2 linked regions of the Drosophila melanogaster genome follow. The protein of the gene in region 2 purifies or fractionates together with the protein of the main gene of each other region. This does not show direct contact. Each region holds a gene or a part of one and is shown on either strand. Other genes may lie near its edges. The genes, in order: atl and spas.

Evidence for each region.
Region 1: the proteins of spas (region 2) and atl purify together in Drosophila melanogaster (affinity purification with western blotting, with the first as the bait; one study listed by BioGRID). This does not show direct contact.

What each region holds. Positions count from the first base shown.
Region 1 is NT_033777.3:24,623,923-24,634,985, reverse strand, and holds atl (atlastin), read right to left. Parts: upstream 9,316-11,063; 5' UTR 9,174-9,315; intron 7,921-9,173; exon of another isoform or gene 7,611-7,920; coding exon of another isoform or gene 6,324-7,610; intron 6,271-6,323; coding exon of another isoform or gene 5,914-6,270; intron 5,852-5,913; coding exon of another isoform or gene 5,120-5,851; exon of another isoform or gene 4,911-5,119; intron 4,696-4,910; exon of another isoform or gene 4,236-4,695; intron 3,204-4,235; 5' UTR 3,090-3,203; coding exon 2,895-3,089; intron 2,830-2,894; coding exon 1,616-2,829; intron 1,554-1,615; coding exon 1,487-1,553; intron 1,429-1,486; coding exon 1,279-1,428; 3' UTR 272-1,278; downstream 1-271. Other genes in the region: MtnF (metallothionein F), read left to right, coding at 60-229; wsck, read left to right, coding at 5,120-5,851, 5,914-6,270, 6,324-7,610; Syx18 (syntaxin 18), read left to right, coding at 9,513-10,511, 10,831-11,019. UniProt on the Drosophila melanogaster protein: Membrane-anchored GTPase that mediates the GTP-dependent fusion of endoplasmic reticulum (ER) membranes, maintaining the continuous ER network. It facilitates the formation of three-way junctions where ER tubules intersect.
Region 2 is NT_033777.3:24,036,515-24,047,997, reverse strand, and holds spas (spastin), read right to left. Parts: upstream 9,784-11,483; 5' UTR 9,490-9,783; coding exon 8,736-9,489; intron 8,404-8,735; coding exon 8,233-8,403; intron 8,088-8,232; coding exon 7,902-8,087; intron 7,693-7,901; coding exon 7,526-7,692; intron 7,431-7,525; coding exon 7,178-7,430; intron 7,120-7,177; coding exon 6,374-7,119; 3' UTR 5,344-6,373; downstream 1-5,343. Other genes in the region: Rox8, read left to right, coding at 2,333-2,560, 2,732-3,640, 3,708-3,801, 3,853-4,034; Miro (mitochondrial Rho), read left to right, coding at 10,450-11,067, 11,180-11,483. UniProt on the Drosophila melanogaster protein: ATP-dependent microtubule severing protein. Stimulates microtubule minus-end depolymerization and poleward microtubule flux in the mitotic spindle. Regulates microtubule stability in the neuromuscular junction synapse.

The sequences.
Region 1 (11,063 bases), 590 kb from region 2:
TGAGTTGCATCTCGATCAAAAGGAATCTTTCCCAGCAAATGAAAAAAAAAATAATCCAGATTGCAAGTGCACGCCGGAGAAGTGCTGCGAGAACTGCAAGTGCCAAAAACCCGGACAGTGTGGATGCAATCCGTCGAATGCCAGCTCCTCGGGCGGATGTTGCAAGAAGGATGGCGGCGACACAGCGGGCGGCGATGCCAAGTCAAGTTGCTGTGGCTCAAAGAAGTAAAAGCCCAACCCCCCATTGATGTCAGTATTGGAAAAAAAAAATACGTTTTTTCCATTTATTTTTCGATGGCCATAACTGCTAGTGAGCTGTTATCATTAAATACATTTATTGTTTAATCGAAACAAAACCAAGAGTTCTATAAATTTTACTGCACAAGATAAACTAATGACCTATACCAGCATTGCTCCTTCGCGTTGAACTTTAATGGGTGGCAATGACTTCTATTTTATTTTCTTCGTGTTTTTTTGTTTTTTTTATAATTTTAAATAACAAAAGGTGGCAAAATGAGGCGCTTAGCAAACCAGCCAACAACAATGTGCACTCTGTTTATACATAGATTGCTTATGGAATTCTATACCAAAGATGAGATAAGATGGAAAAGGAGGCGGGTAGGTGGGGGGAGTACGCCTTGGATGGAAATTAAACAAATTAAATTCGTTAGCGATTTCTTTATATTACAGCGTTAAATTTCATATATCCGTTTCAGACGCATATCGTTTGTAAAAAAACAATTTAAAATTTCACTTTTCAACAGACACGAGCCACTTACTAATGATGCACTTACTCTTAAATATACGTAATATAGACCATCTACACTTCAATTAATGCAATATAAAAACAACTTCCTTTAAGGGCAATTAATAGCTAGACGTTTGTGTTTCCGGTTCTCACGCACTATAGAAGGGTTTAGATTTATACAAATTAGAGGGGGAGTCGTCCTTTCGAAAATCGAACCATTCTACTTGGTCCATGGACACCTAATTGCGCTTCGCTTTGCGCTTCTTGCGACTATTTGGCGCCTGGGAGGAAGAGGACGGGGTCGCTGGACTTTGGGTGCTGACTTGGCCCTTCTCTTCGTTGCTGCCGCCGAACTTGCGCCAGATGTTGTGAATGAAACCGTCGGCCTCGTTAATGTTGTTGCTCCTGTTTGATTTGTATGCCACATTGTTGTTGTTGTTATTATTATTGTTGTTGTTATTGGTTCTTGCCGACGGCGGCTGCGACGGCACCGGCTGCTGCGTTTTGTGCTGCGCTCCTTGGGCGTATTCTCATGACCGCTTCACCTTGCCATTGGACGCATTCACCGAGGTCTGGGAGCGGTAGGAGGCTGCGCCTCCGCCGACAGCCATTTCGGTCGCATGAGTGGCAACATGGTGGATGCCCTTCTCCATGCAGCCGTGATAGATGGGTCGCATGAACTGCAAGCATAGCGTAGGTTAGTACACGAACATCTTCGCTAGATTCCCAGCTACTTACTTTCTCCCACAATAGCGTTGCAAAGTCATCCAACTTGCCGCCAAAGTCGCTGAGCTCTCCGCTATATCTGGAATTGATAAAACATCGTTGGCAAAATTATCATCAAAAGCTCAAGCTAAATCAACCTACCTAATGTAGGCCCACAGAGCCAGCGTTAGAAGCGCCACACCCATAACCAGGTTGCAGAAGTTGGCGAACGTATAGAGACCCACCAATCCAAAGATGCCGCTAAGGATGTACATGATGACGGCGCAGGCGAAGTACACCGCCGGTGTCCGTGCTGCCTTAAAGATGTTCTTGCTCTCGTTGTGTGCTTGGTAGTTGGTGAAGACCTCCTCAAGATCATCTTCCAGTTGCTTGCGGAATTTCTCGGTGAACTCCTCACCACCCATCTTGCGCTTGGCGGCGAACTGGAACAGTGCCTTGTCCTTCACCCGCAGGTGCTCCGTCTGGAGATGGGCGGTGCTTAAGTACGGCCGCGTTCCACCGCACACCTCCTCCATGAGCTGTCCGTACAGCTCCTTGGCGGCGGCCACGGCAGTCAAATGGTTAGCCTCTGCGGTGGCCACCAGCATGCTCTTCGGCTCGGGCAGCTCGTTGCCCTTGTAGATGTTCATGTACGATTGGAAGTACTGGATGAGATCGCGGGCCCGCACCCGCTGTCCGCTGATCTCCTTGTAGACAAGGTTGTCCGGTGCCAGCAGCATGGGCACCAGGGAGCGCAGGCTACTCTTAAACTCGGGCGTGATGTCCTGCAGCCGACCGTCAAATTTAGGATTGGTGGCCACATTGAGACCTGGATGGGGCATCAGGAAGCAGGCCACCTCCGTGAAACAGGACGAAATGTGGCGACGCAGGGACTGTAGTTCTGGGTGCTGTTTGTCGGACACCTCCAGACGTCGTTTCAGAATCTTATCCCCGCCCAGTGCACCATATTCCGCCTCGTAGGGAAAGCTCCAGTCCCGGACGAGGAACTGCAGACGCTGGAACGGCTTTTTGCCGGTGTCGGCCAGCGCGAGGCGACCATACTCAGTGAAGAGCTGCAGGTGCTGCAGGTCGTCCTCCTGGATGTTCTGTGACAGGTTGTATATCTGCACCGAGGACAGCATTGTGCTCAACGCAAAAACGGTGGCACAATCGCGCACCGTGCTCTGGCTGTCGAAGGCGCCCTGTGTGTCCAGCAGAATGATGGCTATCTTGTCGCCGTTGGGATAGTCGTGCAGGAATATGTCGGACCACATGAGAATGCCGGTGGTGTCGCGCTCAGATCCGCCGCGCCAGGAGAAACCCTCCAGCGGATCTGATTCGCCTCCCAGCCAGTCTGTCGCATCGTGATGCACATACTAAAATGTTCAAAAGAGTGTGGTAAATGGAAGATGCTTGCAGTGGCAGCAATTTCAAGACTCACCTTTGAATACATATAGCGCAGAAAAAAGTCCAGCAGGAAGCTCTTGCCCTTTCGGAAGGCTCCAGCCACGGAGACAACGCAGACGAACCGATCCTTGACCTCATCCCGCATTAGGACCTCACTCAGCGCATCCTCGTTGAGCACAAATGTGTGCTCCTCGGAGGCGTTGATCACCTGCACTGCCGATCCGCCCATTATGGTGTTTGGAATCCTTGTCTGCTATTCCGTTTGCTGTCTCTGTTTTACCGGCTATTTTTGCCTCCGTTGGGAAATTCTTTCTTATTAATCTTTTGGATTTCGACCTGTCAACTGCAAGCATAAACAGACAGCTAGATAAGTATGGAGAAAATGTCTGCTCTGTTTTTCAGCGATTTTTCCATTTCCGGCAAAGGGAAAATTTGCGAGTCTAGGCCAACATTTAATTGCGCAAGCCTCTGCGCCGTGAGTTCATTTAAATTTGGCACAGCCACGAGACACGAGCGACGGACAGAAAGGCCTGCAATTATGAGAGGTGGCCAAAAATAAACCCAAACATGCGCTGCTCCCCGATCGCAGAAGATGTCAACGTCAACCGAAGGGGCAGTGGGGCACTATGTAAGCGGATTGTTCAGGTGCGTGGGATATATGTACATATGTATGTATGTACCAATCTATCCGAGGAATGGTACTTGGTAGATGTGTAATCAATCAGTAATCAATGTTTAGATACAACCTTACCATTCAATTAGCATATGGCAATCTGGTTTTCAAACTATAGTTGTTGCTTATAAAATCAACTGTTTTTAGGAACAAACTAAACAGATTCGGCTGAAGACACAAGTATACAATTTAAAGGCATATGGTTTTGATTGTCACTTTAGAAACTACGGCTACTAAATGATAAGAAAACCGGTTTATTACTACTACTACTGACTAAACTTTCAACATTAAAACAGATTTCACGGTGTATTTTACAGCCCATATGGAGAAAACATATTCAATTATTTCAGATACTCAAAATAACTTGGAAAGAAATTCATCGGAAACCGGTCTTTCGGTGATTTTATTGACCTTATTAAAGTTCTTGATTGATGTGTTGTTTTTTTGCAACACGATCACTTATTCATTTGTTCCTTTTGGGTTTTATCACACCAAATGGCGAATGTGTACTCAAAGGGTTTCCAAATCGGGTTAAACGAATTCAGCACAGTTGACTGTTCGTATGTAAGCCGTAGGAAGGGAACACATTAAAATTAATTTCGTTAGCTGCGTTGTGATGACGTCGACAACTTTTGTCGCGCTACGCAGTTTGACCACTTGAATTCTAATTAGAAACGCAGCCAAAACAAGTGAAGAACATACCACATTAAGACAAGAGATCGGTGGGGAATTATGCCACACTCCCGATTATACAGGCCACATAAAAGTTATGCTTGCGTCTAATTGAGTCCGATTCGGATGCGGAATGGGAATATGAATATAAATACACGACCAGCGCGACCGTCAACCAAATCAAACTGCAAGCACAACACGCAAGTCACCAATGAATCGGCTACCTCAAAAAGAGAGCGAAGCGGTACTCTCTCTTTTCCGATCAACTCTCATTTGCCGTCGCCACATGGCAAAATAGGAATAGACACCGTGGTGGAAGGGAGGTGGGTAATGCAATTGGTCCGGCGGCAGCTGCAACGTTAGCAAAATCGCGTCTGTCCAATTAACACATTGCCACTTAATTAAGACCAACTGTTGTCCGAGACTTTGGCGCGCTGAATGGGAATTTAAAATTCAAAATAACAATCACATCTGGCAATGCCGTTTGGAACCAGGCTTGTCCAGCAGGTGTGTGAGCGGTGCCGCCAGATACGGACGATCTTCGCAACACACCAGTTGTCCCACTTACACTTGCAGCTTTTGCAACTAGCGGGCGATGTAAACAAAGGTGTTGGAGAGTAACAGCAACAGTTGTGCGGCCTGCGTCGACGTCGGCAGAGCGATTAGTCAACTGGAAATGGAAACACGGTTGCCGAGAGCAACAACAACGGCAGTGGAAGAAGAAGCAGCAGCAGAAGCGCTTGGAAAATGTTGAGCGGGGAAAAAGAATAAAAGTTTTTAATTTGCCTAAATTGGCTGCCCGTGAAAAGTGTTTAATTGGCAGTCCTAGCCCCCAAAGAAGCAACAGAAAGCCCAGGCGGATATCAGTCATCCGGCGTGCAGGAGCTTAGCTGCTCATTCGAGATTTGCAAGCCATGGAATGCGGTTCACACAGCGGACACCGCCCAATTCCGATTTGGCTTTCGAGCTGCCTCGTGGCCATGTGCTTGGGCCTTCCGCTAGGAGCAGCTGTCCCCCAGGAAGCACCTGCCTACTACTACGTTGGTTGCTACACGGCACGAACGGATCTTCTCCATGAATCGGTGTACGCCAAGACACCGCAGACCTGCATCGAGATCTGCGAGCATCAGGGTCACCACTATGCCGTGCTGGCCTCCGAGAAGTGCTTCTGTGCAAATGTCCTGGAGCCGCAGGAGCAACAGGATGAACAGCTCTGCAACACTCGCTGCCTGGCCAACAAAGCGCAGTATTGTGGCGGAGTTGGTGTGCACTCGTACTACTCCACCATACTGACCAAACAACCGGGTCCGCATCATCTAAGAATCTCGAACAAAACGGAGAACAGCCTGACCCTTAGCTGGAATGCGTACGAGGCGAGGAAACTACTCCTGGCCGGCGGCGCGGAGGCAGTGCTTCCCAACCAGCTACTGGACAACTTCCTGATCAAAGCTCAGGTCCTGAAGACCTACTCCTCGTTGCCCGCCTTCCCGCAGCCTGAGTTTATGGTGCAGAGCACGGAAACGCAGTTTGAACTCACAGACTTGCATCCCGCCACGCTGTACAACATATCCGTGAGAGCCATGTGCAAGGATGCCCAAGTAGGTCAATCTGAATGCGGACAGGCCTCGATAGAAGCCACCACGGAGGTTGGTAATGCTTGAATTCTAACGAGAATCCTAACCAATAACATTACTACTCCAAATTTCAGGTGGGCCTTCCAAGTCCCGTGCCAGCACAGCCGAAAATCCTCAGCCGGACTGACCGCACTGTAACCATCGAGTTGTCGCCCATTCGGAATGACAATGGACCGCTGAGCAAACTGCTCGTCATCGTGGAATACGTGGACAACGCCCTGAGTCAGCCATTCGATGCCCAGCTCCTGGGCAGCTGGCAGCAGGCTCAACAAGATGGAGTGCCCTACTACATAGCCGCCGAATTGGACTACGATCGACCGGAGGACAATCGCACCCGGCGCTTTGTGGTCGGCGATGGCAAGCGTTACGGACGATTTACCAATAAGCCGTTGGATCAACCAGATGCACATGTCCACATCAGTCTCGGATTGGTGAGTAATGCATTAAATTCGAATGAATATCTCTGTAACTATTTATATTCTAGGTGAGCACACTGGAGGGCGTTACCAAGACGATGTACAGTCGTGGAACTCACGACCAGCATGTGACATCCCTAGACGACTTTAGTTACGCCACCTTTGAGAAGGGTCAATCCTCGGTGGTTGCCCTAGCTGTCACCTGTGTGATCTTCGGCTCCTGCCTCCTGCTCAGTCTTATTGCCTACTTCTATCTGCGCTACAAGACCTGCCGCGGGCGACGATTGACTGGTGGCAATACGCACGAGATGACGCTGCAAACGCCCATAATCGAGCGGGAAAATAACGGATACCTTGTGGAGGACGATCCACTGCCACACTCGCCGGAAAACTTCAAGCAGCAGTTGCAACAGTTGGTGGAAGGATACGAACGGATACCAAGGAATGCACTACGACTAAATGTGAACGATGTGATCGGAGACGGACGCTTTGGTGAGATTATAACCGGAAAGGTTTCCACAAACGATTTTGCCAGAGATTGCACCCTGCACGTGCTCTGTCTGGACGATCTGAATGGTACTACACAGGCACAGTTGCTGAGAGAACTACGTCAGTTGTCTCAATTGAAGCGCCAGGAGCATTTGCTAGATTTCTATGGAGTATCAGCAAGTCCCGATTGGTTCTACCTAATCTTCGAGCAGCAACGCATGAGTCTAAAGAGAAAACTGGTGGAGAGTCGCCTGATGGCACCGTCGCCACGCTTGACTTCCCTCTCTGAGCAGCTAGTGCTGCAGTGGATCTACGAGCTTGCCAGTGCCATGAATTATCTATCCAGCTGCCAGGTGGTGCATCGACAGCTCTGCTCGCACAGCGTCTTCGTTACCAGCGATTTCAAGCTAAAACTGAGCGTCTTTGGACCGCTGCCCTACATGAACATTGCTCGCCAGCAGCCAGACCACAACCGGTGGCTGGCCCCGGAGGTGCTGCGCCATCAGCATCACCATTCCACCCGTTCTGATGTCTGGTCCCTGGCCTGCGTGGCGTGGGAATGCTGTGCCCTTGGCGGTACTCCCTATGCCAATGCAGTGGCAAGTAACCAACAGCTTCTAGAGGCCATTCGGGCTGCAGTGCGTCCGGCGCAGCCAGCCTACGTCTACGGGGATCTCTACCAGCTGCTGCTCAACTGCTGGCAGCTGGAGCCGAGCGAGCGGAGCAGCTGTGAGGACGTGGCCTTCGGAGTACGTCAGCTGATGACCTCACCGCGTCATGCCCTCAGCTTTGATCGAGTGGCCGGCGGACTAGACACCCTGCCTCCGTACCTGCCGCAACTGGAAGCCGTTGCTACGATGGGCTGAGGTGCAGCCGAATAGTATAATTAGCTTTAGTCAGCGAGAGACCACATTCGCATAGAGTAGATTTCGGTTCTGAGTCACTGCTGCTAAGAGAAAACATCACTTCATTTCGATTTTAGATGAGTTCACTTTCAGTGTTCTGAAGAGAAAATAATTTGTTTTAGAATTTACACATTGATTTAATAAAGCTCATAAATTGTTATTATCCATATAATATTAGAAGTGAGCATTTATGAAACACAATTCGATGTTTATTGTTAATACGCACAAACTTCCTACAAATAAAAGAGTGTTCTATGCCAGAGCTTATCAGATCTATAAGGTAGTTAATTGCTTATCTACAACCCGAAAGAAAGGAATCGACTTTCCCCCACGCGAAACAAAGTTCAAGCGAACGTGCTCGATGGAGAGCGCGATAGATAAAAGACTACTGACAGTCTGGCCCCCAAAATTGTGTAATAAATTGAGGGATCCATAGCGAATGGATCTACCAACAGACCAGCGACTGTGATTCCCCCGCCGATCGCTGATGTTGCACAAACCAGACAAAAGCGAAAACTAAAAGCAAAAAAAAAACCAAGGGAGAGAGCCGCGAATGCGAAACTTTGATCGCTGGCGAGCAGCAATTAATAATAGAAAATAAACGGCGGTGTTGCTTAAGTGTGAGTGGATCAAAATTGACGATTAATCAGTTTAAAGGTCTTGCATTGCATCTATTGTTTGTTATGTTGTTTAAGAATTAATTAGGGAAATTGTTGGCAGCAGCCTAGATGCGGTTACATGCATTATTAGTCATCCGAAATAGTAGGGCACTTTATGTATGTATATTCCATTGGTTTGGACAATCATCTTATAATGAAGCTACATAGCAAAAAAAAAAAAAAAATCTAAATCTGTGTATATTCTTCCGATATGCACTTTTCAAATGAAATGTTCAAAATTCGTTATCAGTACTTAAAATTTCTCACTATGTACAAGCTTATCTCGGGATCCTTCCCAAAGAAGATAAGCCATTGTTTCTCTTGTCGACGTGTAACTATTGGATCCACCAAAAAACCCAAAGCACATGGCTCACCCGGAATTTAGAGCGACTTTCTTATAGAGTATATGGTAAATACGGTAAATGAAGCGCAACGATATCCATAGCGACTTTTGGACGCTTACCTTGCCCGCAATTCAAGGTGAAATGACGACGAACAATTGAAGTCACTGAAATGTGTATACATTCCGAGCAAATGGGCAATTATTATTAATAAATCGAGCTGAATGGCTGCTATCGGAATTCAGGGGCTTCGACTGCCGACCATGCTCATGAATATGTGGAAGATGATGATGATGATGAGGTTCATCCGGTATTGGCCAACTTTGCGAGTGTTTTGCATTCGCCTGGTTAAATTGTTATTGTTTTTGTTACATATACACACATGGAGATTATGAGGAATCCAAGGAAACTGGTTGCTCACACACGCACACCAACGCACTGCGACGGAGCCACTCACGCACACTACCAAATGGTCGGCTAACTGCGCAAATAATGCGGCTTCTGTGTCGGCCTTTGTTACTCACTTTACTTAACCATTTACATCGGACACTGGACTTCACTGCGCTGCGATTTTTCGACACTTTGGAAGCAGAAAAGTACGTATTTTGTTTGTGCTCTGCCAATGGTGTGACCGTACACCGTTGGGCGAAAAATCACCTATAAGTGTGGGGGTGAAAATTCATTAGCCAACACTGAAATGCTTATCGATAACATTTAGCTATTTTTAGTATTAGCTAACTGGTATATATTAACGGTCATCATAAGGTCACACTGCAAACGGTTAAACGAACGGCCACATTGTGTTGGACCGATGATGTGGATTTAAAAGTTAAATATTTCAAACTTAGTTATAGCAAATAGCTATGGACATCACCCAGAGCTTCAAGGCCAGCGTAATGACGGTGCGCCTGCAGCGCAAGGCCGAGCTGGCCGGAAAGGCCAAGCCCGCCACAGTGCCGACAAAAACTGGACCAATTGGCCCAAAGGATGACTTCGCCAAGCAGGCCAAGGAGGTGTGCAACAAGATCACTTCGCTGCGCAATGTGCTGATCGAGAACCGCACCGCCTACATGCGCATTGGCCAGCACCTCAAGTCCGCCGCACACATGACCGACGCGCAGCGGGATCTGATTGATCGCGAGTCGGAGAAGTTCGTCACCTTTTACACGCAGCACCTGGCCAAGATGCGCAGCGATTGGAAGAGCGCCAAGCGGAAGCCGCAGGAGCGTCAGCACATCGACGCCGTGCTGGACCTGCTGGTCAGCTATTTGCACAGCGTGGAACAGATCTATCTGGACCAAAAGAAGTACCGTGTGCAACACGAACTGGAAACCTATAGGCTGCTCAAGCTGGCGGCGGACAAAAAGAAGATACCAGTGCGTCCGGCGGGCAGCAACAGTGGCAAGCTGGGCAGGCGCCAGGTCAGCAACGATGACAGCGAAGCCACGAAGTCATCTTCACAAGCAAATGGCAACCACGACGAGTCCGCCGACAATGACTGGAATAACGACGCCTGGGGCGACTGGGATGAAGACGAGGAAGGCGACGAGGTGGACGATCACGATGGCGAGAAGGGCAAGGAAGCCAATCAGGCCAATCAACACAAACCGCGTACGCGCAAACGAAGCAAAGCCAACAGATCGGATCTGAACAACTCATCCTCCAAGATGGCTCTGGATGAGGAGCTCCAGCAGCAGCAGGAGGCCGACGATGACGATCCCCTAAGCGCCGAGGATGTGCAGCTCTTCGAGGCGGAGAACGTACACATCTACAACTTTCTGCAGGGCGTCTCCGAGGAGGTGGAGCAGATCGAAAAGAACGTGGTAGACATTGCCCAACTGCAGGACATTTTCACCGAAAAGGTAAGATGGCATGATAACACAAGTCCCAAGGAATCCTTGCTGTTCTTAACAACGATATCTTTAGTTTAATTTTGGTGAGAACATATTGCTCCATATTGCCAAGAATACTTAGTGGGTTTAAGTGGCTGCCCATATGTTTGTCGACTTAATCCTTCAATTAAAAATATTAATTGGCTTCGCTAAAATCCACATCCTTCGCGATTACAATGGATGTATAAGCCGGGCTCTTATTAGCATGCAATTAATTATTAACTAGATCCAGATAGATCCACGTCCTAATCTCATTTAATCCTCTTAAATTTCCCTTTCCCTTTTGTAGGTCGCCATGCAACAGCACAATATCGACAGGATAGTTAGTGCCGTCGTGGGCACCACGGAAAACGTCAAGGACGCCAACGAGCAAATCCGGCAGGCCACTCAACGAAATGCAGGACTACGCGTGTGGTCGCTGTTCTTCCTGCTGGTCATGTCGTTCTCCCTGCTCTTCTTGGACTGGTACTACGATTAAGTGAAGTCCCCAAATTTATGTGTAACCCACCCAATTTAGGGAAT
Region 2 (11,483 bases):
AAATCTCATTAATTAGTTCGCATTTTAGACGACGAAGGTAAAATTTTAGCGACGCGTTCAACGTACATTTGCAGCCCCTAACAACTTTGAAAGTTTCGCAAAATTAATACAAACCGGTAGCGGCTAAACTTGACCGTCAAATGAAGTGTGCGAACAGAGTGCAGAGCAAGTAAAATGCGGTAAATTTACAAACGCAGCCACGTCACAGAGAGCGCATTAAAGAAAAAAGAAGAGAGTGCGAATTTTGACAGCGAAATTCGAGTCTGAACAATGGACATTAAGCGAATGCACTATAGTGCGGCGGGGACGATAATTGTTAAGCCCAGTTTTCGGCACCGCTGTCAGGCAGCAGGGTCGGGGCGGAGGCGTGGCGGTTGTTGGTGGCGGGGGAGCGGCATTAAAAGATGGCAGCACAAAAGCGAACAAGATACATACATATACGTACATATAGCGGCAAGCTGAAAAGGCAAATGAAAAGTCCCGCATTCAAATCGTCTTGGTATTGGTATATTGGCATTAGTTTAAATACACTCAATAGCCAAAAGCGGAAAAAAGCAAAAGCAAAAGAAAAGTGGAGACTCATGTGAGGAAAACGCAAACAAAAAGACCAGCGCAAGACGCCTCTCTCTGCGTGTGTGTGTGTGCGTGTCGGTGCTAATGTGTCAGTGTGTGTGCGAAAAAGAGACGAAGAAAATAAGCAGCAAATGAGCAACCAAAACCACCCCGCCATTCCCTTTTCGCCGTCTCTTCAGTTCTGTGACTTTGACTGACATTTTCTAGCGCCGCCGCCGCAGAAATAATCAAAATCAAGTTTAGTTCTATGCAAATTAAAATTTGATTTCGCAAAGTGTGAAGAAGAAGAACACGAATCTAATGCAACCGTGTGTGTCACCCGCCCGCCGGTTTCGCAAAATTTCCCACATCTTTCTCTTCCTTTTCCCTGTTTTTCTTTCTCCTCATTTTGTTATCGACGGTCATTCATCTTCTAGTCGATTTTCGTCGTTCTCCTTTCGCCCTCGTCTCGCTGGCGTGCCTGAGTGTGCATTTCTGTGTGCTGTGCGTGAGTGGCCCAAAAAAAAATTTGTAAATGTGAATACAGAAATATATTAATTATAAACTAAATCATTTTGCAAGGCCCGCAAATTTGTTGCGAATGAATGGCTATTGTCAATTGTTGGCCATTCGCTTTGTTATAAAGACAGGCAGTCTCTTTCCCCTGTCCTTTCCCACCCGCCTCTCTCGCTCCGAAGATAGCTCACTCACTCTCCCCGTGTTTTTCGTGTGCGCCAGTGTGTGTGAGCGTGCGTCTGTGTGTGCGTGTCCCTGCACTGCTTTGCCGCCTTCTTTGTTCCCATCATGCGAAAAGGGGGCGGGGCGGGGTAGTCGATTTATATCCATATCATTTGCGCCTGTTTTAAGGCCCACCGATCATGTGCCATTAGACCTTGTCCCACTCTTCCGGTTATCAGCGCAAAACTAACCCAAATTTACCTCTCTCTTTTACAGCAGCAACGATTCCAGGGGTCAGCTTCGAAACCCGAAAAGTACACTCAGCCTGCGAACTTTCACGCTGTTTAACTTAGCTAACTAATTTTTGTACAAGAGCAAGAATAAGTAGTCGCAACCAAGTATTCATATGTACATTTATACAATCCTGTATATTGGAACGGACAACTATTTATAATCACAACAACAACATCCGGATCATCGAAGAAGGATCGAGCAATTCTGAAATACCAAGTAGTGTACACCAAGAAACCCCGAATCCAAATCCCAGGCCCCCAGGAAAGGAAGTCAACCGATTATAGACATATATATTAGGCGACTAATCGTATATTCCAAAACACTCCATTAGCGTTTAGTTAGGACAGATATATTTATACGTATACATATAGATGTTTAACGAAATTTTCAATTAGGCGCCAGATTAGGAACAAAATAAAGCAATAAACGACGAACCTCAGCGTTAAGCAAATAGATCAACCTACCTAGATTGAGCATATAAAGTTTATATAATCCAAAAAAATCAAGCCAAGCCGAGAGTAAGTCGAAAGTAGTAGAAAATCAAAGTATTCAAATCTCTCTTGGAGTTTCCTGTTAGCAGCTAGCACCAATTAGATTGCCGCAAATACACCTGTTTAATTAGCAGACACTTTAGATTTTGTACGTAGCTAGGAACTTAATCTGCAAATTTTTGATACATCCCCTTCCGATTAATGCGGCCAGGTGCAGTAGTTGCAATTCCGGTTTTAGTGTAGAGTCAGTAGATTGTCGCTGTAGCCTAGTGTATAATCAGATCAAAAAAGCCACAGTCCCGTGACATCCGACAGCCATGGACGAGTCGCAACCGAAGACCCTATACGTGGGCAACCTGGATAGCTCAGTGTCCGAGGACCTGCTAATTGCCCTCTTCAGCACCATGGGGCCCGTCAAAAGCTGCAAAATCATTCGGGAACCGGGCAACGATCCATATGCCTTCATCGAATATTCCAACTACCAGGCAGCCACAACAGCTCTGACCGCCATGAATAAACGCCTATTCCTCGAAAAGGAAATCAAGGTAAGCTGATTAGCTTCTCTTAAGTTATCAAGTGGACAGCGGTCATTTTCATTCATTTTGTTCGAAACTACACTCTTGCAACACACACATTCCCCACGACCAAGCCCTCATGTTATTTTAATTATGTAGAACTTAATTGATTATTACCTATTAAACGAATGCTCTTCGCAGGTCAACTGGGCCACCAGTCCCGGCAATCAGCCGAAGACAGACATCAGTTCGCACCACCACATATTCGTGGGCGACCTCAGTCCCGAGATTGAGACAGAAACACTGCGCGAGGCTTTCGCCCCATTCGGAGAGATCTCCAACTGTCGCATTGTGCGCGACCCTCACACCATGAAGTCAAAGGGTTACGCCTTCGTGTCGTTTGTGAAAAAGGCGGAGGCAGAGAACGCCATCCAGGCGATGAACGGCCAGTGGATTGGCTCGCGCTCGATACGCACCAACTGGTCCACGCGCAAGCTGCCACCACCACGCGAGCCTTCCAAGGGCGGAGGCCAGGGAGGCGGAATGGGTGGCGGACCGGGCAATGGGTCCGGTGTAAAGGGAAGTCAACGCCACACCTTCGAGGAAGTGTATAACCAGTCGAGCCCCACCAACACCACCGTATACTGTGGCGGATTCCCGCCGAATGTCATCAGTGACGACCTGATGCACAAGCACTTCGTCCAGTTTGGTCCCATCCAGGACGTGCGGGTCTTCAAGGACAAGGGCTTCTCGTTCATCAAGTTTGTTACCAAGGAGGCAGCCGCCCACGCCATCGAGCACACGCACAACAGCGAGGTACATGGAAACCTGGTAAAGTGCTTCTGGGGCAAAGAGAACGGAGGCGATAACTCGGCCAATAACCTCAATGCCGCCGCTGCCGCGGCAGCAGCCTCTGCCAATGTTGCCGCCGTTGCGGCAGCCAATGCTGCGGTTGCCGCTGGAGCGGGTATGCCCGGTCAGATGATGACGCAGCAACAGATCGCCGCCGCAACAGGAGCGGCGATACCCGGCCAAATGATGACACCCCAGCAGATTGCGGCGCAGTATCCATACGCGTACCAGCAGATGGGCTACTGGTATCCACCTGCGGTAAGTGTTGTATTCTTTAAATACGCAGTGACCTAAAGATTGACCCTAACTTTGTGCTTTTCTGCAGACTTATCCCACAACCCAGATGCAGACGCAATACATGCAGCAGGGCTACTATCCCTACGCCTACCCTACCAGTGCTCAGCAAGCGGGAGGAGTCCGTAAGTTTACTTTTCTCAGTTGCTGAATAATCGTGACCTTGGCTTAAACAGCTTGCATACAATTTTCAGCGGCTGGATACCGCATGGTGCCGCCGAATGTAGCATGGGGCGTGCCCGGAACTGTGGTGCCCGGTGTGACGGCTGCCGCAGCATCCGCGGCCGCTGCAGCGAACGGATCACTTGCCCCCCAAATGATGTACAGTGCTGCGATGCCACAATACCAGACCCAATGAGCTGAGATGTGACGCCAGCTTCGACGCCGTTTGCAGCATCCGGGAAGTCGCCCCCAGCCGCAGCCACAACCACCTCTGCTGCATCAGCTTCCGCACCTGCAGCAGTTGCAAGCGCATTACGCACGTTTAGGTTACGTACAATACCGAGTAGTAGCAAAGTCGGAGCCGCTCCTGGCCATGCCGTTGACCAGCGGCAGCAGCCACATTGACGGTGGCAATGTATCTGGAGATTATTAAGGATGCGCGAGTGTCCACTTTGAAGTTGTGGCTACGGTTGCGGCTGACTGCGGTGGAAGGAAGCGGAATCGGGTGTGGTATATAGCCCCCCAAAGTCGAACGTTAAGGCGGTGCGTGGAGCTCAACTTCAAGTGATCCACGCCGGCGACAACTGAAAGAACATCAATTGAAAAGCTCCGGGCGATGGGCGGGTAGCTGTAACAATCTAATCCAATCTAAGTACGTGTTAAATTAATTTAATGATTTCTAATTTAAGCAGATATAGGCGTATAAACGAAACGGAAATAAAATAAACCGAATGAGAAATTCAACAAAAACAAACAAATAAAAACTGAAAAGAGAAAATGCTAATTACGCGCGACAGAGTTAAAACAAAAAGAAAACAATCGAAACAAAAACGTGACAAAGCAAATTGTAATTGTAACTATGTGGAACATGTGTCAACGAAAACTGAAGACGGAAAGAGGGTAGTTTCAGTGGGATGAAAGGATAGCCGCAAGCAAGCAAGCCGAATGCAAAAACAAGAGGAAAAACAAATTTAGTCACTAAGAGAATGTAAATTCGAGCATACATATTGTATATTTCCAATGTGGAAAACGAAATGCGATATAAATATGTAAAATGTAAAATAAAGAAGCAAAAAAATATATAAAACAAGTGAGAAAACGAAGGGACGCTGGTTTTTATATTGAGGTAATGAATTAGGATGTGGAATTATTATTTCAAACTTTAATTTATATCATTGATGATAGAAGTGGTTACTACTACTACAAATCTGGTGGAGGATTCAGCGGAGTCTAAAATATAGTTAAAAAGTAATTAACTTTTACAATTGTGCTAAAAAGTTTTCTTAAGGTATAACATACATACATGAATGAATTTTATAGCTTTAATATTCTCTAGTGAGACGCAGTTTTTCTGCGAAACTAGTTTTCATGAATGCTTAATTCTTCTGCTTACTTTCTCTTAATTTAAATGCACCTGGTGATGTCAGCCGTTGCTCAATTCTCAATACACTACCAATGGTTTCCAATAGCTTAGAATTTTGTTGATGATTAAGAATGCAATTGATGTTTCTTGAAATCGATTTTATTTAGCGTATTCTATAGATTTCTTTATATATATAGTTTTATATGCATGTAGTTTTTTTTTGTATCTGTGTTTAGTAACTAGTCAAAGAACTCAAATTCCGGGTGGGCGAGCTGCGTTGAAGCTGGTTCAATGTGTCGCGATAAGCGACGGGCATGTGCGCGGGTGAAGATGTATCTGATCGATCTGATAACACCAGATCCATACGCACCTGCTAGGTACAACATTTTTGGGTGTGTTACTAATAATATAGGTGAATCGGAGACGATTGTATTTATGGCTGTAGGTACATAGATTGAAACAAAGGAACTAAACTAGACTAACCATACGGACAGTGATAACTATTAAAACTTAAATACGATTCTGCGCTGGTAAATGTATCTTTGTGGGTGTGTATAAGTATATCATCGGTCTTAGGTCTACGCTTACTTCTAGATTACATGTAGCTTGTGGATGGGCACTCAATGTACAACAAAAATATGCTTTATAGTTCAAGGATACAATGGAAGTAGTTGTGAACTCCTTGGGCCGCCTGTCTTACAAAAAATCACTACGGAATGTTTCAAAAAACTAATTTATAAAGCAATGTGGCCTTGAATTACTATCATAAACGAAGATAGGGCAAACCTACTATTCTAAGAACTCCAATGAAAAGTACAGATCTTAGAAATATATACCATGAGTATGAGTATAACGATAATGGAGCTGCATGGCAAATGTTGCACCACATGGACATGGTGGTTAAACAACGAAAAAATACAATACAATGTTCTTAGGCTAAAACACCAGAAATAGCTGGGAAACAAATCATATTAAATAACTCACAGGTAAATACAAATGTAACAATGTTTGTGAAACGAAAAGTCTACGGATTGAATAGAACCTTAAGGGCGAAAAACATGGGTCACATAATCAAAACTAGTGTAACGACAATGGGTTGCGCTCTGAGACTCACATCACAGCTTCTCCAAATTGGATTGATGAAGGAGGGCAGGATCATTGGCTAGAACAGACTAGATGGTGATGTCGCCATAATCTTGCGACCACTTCTCATATGAGTTGAGGCTTTGCGGCGCCACCGAGCGCCTGATGCGCTTGAGCGAACTGTGAAAGTCCTGCTCTGTGATTGCACGCATTGCACTGATGTCCAGACACTTCACTTGCTCCACATTCAACTCTCGAATGGGCTCCAATGCGGCGTCCTTGGCCAGTGCCGTTAAGTCGGAGCCCGAGTATCCGTCTGTTATCTTTGCAAGGCGACGCAACGCCTCGGTATCCAACGGACTGCCTTGCTTCTGGAGCAGTCGATTGAGGAGCAGCTCGCGGGTTTGCTCGTCGGGCAGTGAGACGTAAACGCGCTTTGTGAACCGACGCAGGGCTGCCTCGTCCAATTCCTGCGGTCGATTGGTGGCGGCCAGCACCACGATCCTGTCTCCGTCTGGATTTCCAGGCAGCCCATCGAACTCCACTAGAAACTCGGTCTTTAGGCGACGCGATGCTTCATGCTCGCTGCTGCTTCGCTCTGAAAGCAACGAGTCCACCTCGTCGATGAAAATAATGGAGGGCTGCATGTGACGGGCCACGGCGAAGAGAGCCCTCACCAGTTTCTCGCCATCCCCCACGTACTTGCTGGTCAGCGAGGCAGCCGAAATGTTCAGGAAGGTGGCACTACACTCAGTAGCCACGGCGCGGGCCAGCAGTGTCTTGCCATTTCCGGGAGGACCAAACAGCAATAAACCCTTAGCCGGTGCACGAAGCCCTAAAAAGGAAGAAGATTGGTTATGGTGACGGTTCTAGTCGCAGAATAACCAACTCACCCGTAAAGAGTTCCGGTCGGACGGAGGGTAGAATGACCATTTCCTGTAGAGCCTGCTTGGCCACATCCTGACCGGCAATGTCAGTCCACTCCACTTTGGCCCCACCCTCGACGATCTCGTCGAGTATAAGTTGCACCAGCTTCTGTTCCACTCCCTTCACACTAACCACCGGAGTGCTGGCGCCACTGCCACTGGGTCCGTTGTTGTTTATGGGAGTCCGCGAACGCTGGGGCGGCGTATTACGCCCCGAAGACTGTAATATGAGTAATTTAGTTTAATTAGTATTTTAATTTCTGAGTATTTGCCAAATGTGTAAAAACAAATTTAGTTTACTTATCAGATACTCACAAATTGTCGCCGAACGGCGGGAGGCGTTGCAGCTGTCTTGGCTGGTTGCCTTTGGACTGCGCCTACAGATGTTTTGGAGCCAAGGTTGCGGGGCAGCGTTTGTGATTTGTTGGCCACGGCCAAGTTGACGGGTCGTTTGGATCCAATTGTCAGTTTGCGGCCAGATGCTGTGAACGAATTAGCACAATCAGAGATGGATAATGCGGAAGAATATACTCTTTTACAAGTTTACAATTTGGCCAATCGAAATAAAAAATTCTAAGAAAATCAAGTGCCAAGTGAGGTGATAGGGATTGACTAATCGATCTGCTTATGGTGGCTTTGCGCTGGCGTGTGAGGATCTTGTTGGGTGCGCGTTAGCTGGTGAGGAACTTACCAGTGGGTTGGGCACTGGTGGTGGCCTTGGGCCCATAGCCACTGCTGCGCACCCTTAGTTTCATTGGTTCGTTGGTCATTCCTGCCAGCATGGGCTCCCTGGTCTTCTGCGGCTTGCTTTGAGCCTCTTCTTTCTGCTTCTCCTTTAAGGAGAGGCGCTGCATTTGCAAATCCTGCTCACGCAGAGCTGCGCACCGGATGAACATGTGCATATGGACAAAACGGAGGGGACAACAAAAAAGCAGGGGAAAACGTGCAAAATGAAATAAAAAAAAAATGAGGTAAACAAATCCTATGTTTTAGGGGTATAGGAAATATGACTGGTCACTTACCTAGAAAATGGAGACGATCCCGCGCCATCGAAAGGTTTGTCTGCATCTTGTCGTGCAGGCGCTGAGCCCGATCCCACACATCACCACGTCCACTCCAGCAATCGACAGCTATGCCATCCTCTAGCTCCTTGATACCTTTTCGGTAGAGCTCAATTGCCAGCTCTTTGTGACCTGAATATATAGAATAATATTATTTTATGTTTATTTTATAACTATTATGTTCAATCAAGCTCGCTTTCCTCTTATAAATAATTTGACAAAGAGTACGCTTATATGCATTAGAATTTAAAAATCGCATGCTTGGAGAACTTCCACTCCATAAAAGTCCATCAAGGCAGACAACCCTACTCCTGTTGACATTTGGGGCATCCATTGTGCGCGCGTTTTGCCTTATTGATTCTCACACTCGACAGACAACAAAAGCGGACAGCGGGCGATGACTCATTGAGCATTCGAGCACTCGAACTCGAACTGGAGCTGCCACCCCCGTCGCCGAAACTCACCTTCGTTCTCCTCATCAATTTTGAGCGCCTTGGAGATGTACTCGAAGGCGCGTCGATGGTGATGCTTCTGCTTGGCCAGCAATGGATCGCCGGGACCAGGTGAATACCCTCCTCCCGGACGATTGGCGGCCATCTCCAACGGTTGAATGGGCCTGAAACGCTGTGGCTGATTGGATAACTGCTGTTCCTGTCCGTCACCTTCACGGTTCAGCTCCGAAGGATGGTTCAACGACTGCTGTTGCTCCTTGGAGGAATTCTGCACCACGATTTCAATATTACAGTCGCGTCGGTGCGGGCGGTATATCACCTTTGTGCTCGCACCGTATAGGTAGCGAAAAATACAAAACAGCTGATAAATCAGCGAGCGCAGAACGTTGAAAAGAAAGATTATGGGGAACGAGACGACGTAGAGGTTCTGTTTGTGCACAGAGGACGAGTAGCCGCCGTACGAATGGTGGTGGCCGCTGCGTGGGGAGCACGTTGTGGGGGTCAGGTCATCTGTGGTGGTGGTGTCGTCGTCGCCGTCGGGTGAGCTGCCCGGACTACGGCGATTCGATGAGGAGCCTCCACCGGCGGCAGATGAACCGCCGGCAACAACGGCAGCAACGTTTGAGGCGCTCGACGAGCGGTGAGTGGACTGGCGACCACCGAGTCCTCCGCCGGATGATCCTGCCCCGCTGCTGGACTTTATTGGTGACTTGGTGCTGCTGCTGCTGGCGCTGGAGGAGGACGACTGGTTTTTAGTGCGTACCATCGATATCGATTCCGCGCTGTCTGCGCGTCCAGCACTCCGGCCCCCTGCTCTCCTTGCCCTAACCCCGTGAAAGTTGCACGGGGAAATTATCCTTGTAAGCCAAATCGGTTGGCCGTGGCACGCGTTTGTATCGATGCCGCACAAAAAAACAAACAAATCTCGAATATTATTGTTGTACGTCGTTTGAGCTAGTGCTCATTTTGCTGATATCCGAGAGTACTGATTTTCTTCCGCACTTACAACTCTCACTACGTTGAAAATTGAAGCTAAGCTCTGGAGTCCCAGCCAGTGCTGACCAACTATCGATTACCAAATCTAGCGGGCAAGGTTGTGAAGTCAGACAAACAGGCAATTTCAAAGTTTAAATGGTGGAATGTAACGGATGAAATATAATTTGGGAGACTTTCACCGAAGTGCAGTATGGAGACATTCGTAATTGAAGGTAAGTTTGATTTATTGCCTTGTTTATCATTTCCTTTTTGTTTATACGAATATTTTTAACAGAAAACATTTTGTGTCCTTTACAACATCCTTAACGGTTGGCTGATTTAGCGGAAAAACGCTAACTTGTCATATCGTAGAGATCCAGCTGTCAATAAAGTTACCAGACAGTTTCGGATCCGATGTTTTTGGATGGAAATATTTAAATTACGTGATCAATTTTAAGCAACTGATCGAAATAATAGTTTTGATTTGTTAAATTCGTAGAATTCAAACACAATTGCCGGAAAATTGGGGAAAAATATCGCATTATTTGGCGGTCGCCTAGTGTGGCAGCCCTGGTAGCTGGGTTGCGATATATCGACCTTGATACACCTACTGCCATCCCCATCACTCTGGGTTGTTTTTTTTTGCGTTTTTGCATAACAAAATCCTAGAATTTCGGCCTAAACGCCAGCGATCTCTGACCAGCAGAGCACGAGCACAGGAGCGGCATATCTCACTTGGAGAGCAGTCGGAATGGGACAGTACACGGCGTCGCAGCGCAAGAATGTTAGGATCCTGCTCGTCGGCGACGCCGGGGTGGGTAAGACGTCGTTGATTCTGTCTCTGGTCAGTGAGGAGTACCCGGAGGAGGTTCCGCCTAGGGCTGAGGAGATTACCATTCCGGCGAACGTGACGCCCGAGCAGGTGCCCACCAGCATAGTTGACTTCTCGGCCGTGGAGCAGTCGGAGGATGCCCTGGCCGCCGAAATTAACAAGGCGCACGTGGTGTGCATAGTGTACGCCGTGGACGATGACGACACTTTGGATCGGATCACATCCCATTGGCTGCCGCTCGTCCGGGCCAAGTGCAATCCCTCCCTGGACGGCGAGGGTGATGCCGAAGCGGAGGCGGAAGGAGACACACAACGAGAGCCCATTCGGAAGCCAATCGTTCTGGTGGGTAACAAAATAGACCTCATCGAGTATTCCACCATGGACAGCGTGCTGGCCATCATGGAAGACTACCCCGAGATTGAGAGTTGCGTGGAGTGCTCTGCCAAGTCGCTGCACAACATCTCCGAGATGTTTTACTACGCCCAGAAGGCTGTGCTGCACCCGACTTCTCCCCTGTATATGATGGAAGAACAGGAGGTAAGTGCTTCCGGAGTGGATCATAGGTCGCAACTATATCATTGCGCCGTAATTGGCGGTTTTGCGATAGGTAATCAGCTTGTACTCTTCTAATAAAACTTCGCATTTTCAGCTCACATCCGCCTGCAAGAAGTCGCTGGTGCGCATTTTCAAGATCTGCGACATTGACGGGGACAATCTGTTGAACGATTACGAGCTGAATTTATTCCAGCGACGCTGTTTCAACACACCACTCCAGCCGCAAATCCTTGATGAGGTGAAGGCCGTGATACAGAAAAATGTGCCCGATGGCATATACAACGATGCGGTCACCCTGAAGGGCTTCCTCTTCTTACACTGCCTTTTCATTCAGCGGGGAAGGAACGAGACAACCTGGGCGGTGTTACGGCGCTTTGGCTATAACGACCAGTTGGAGA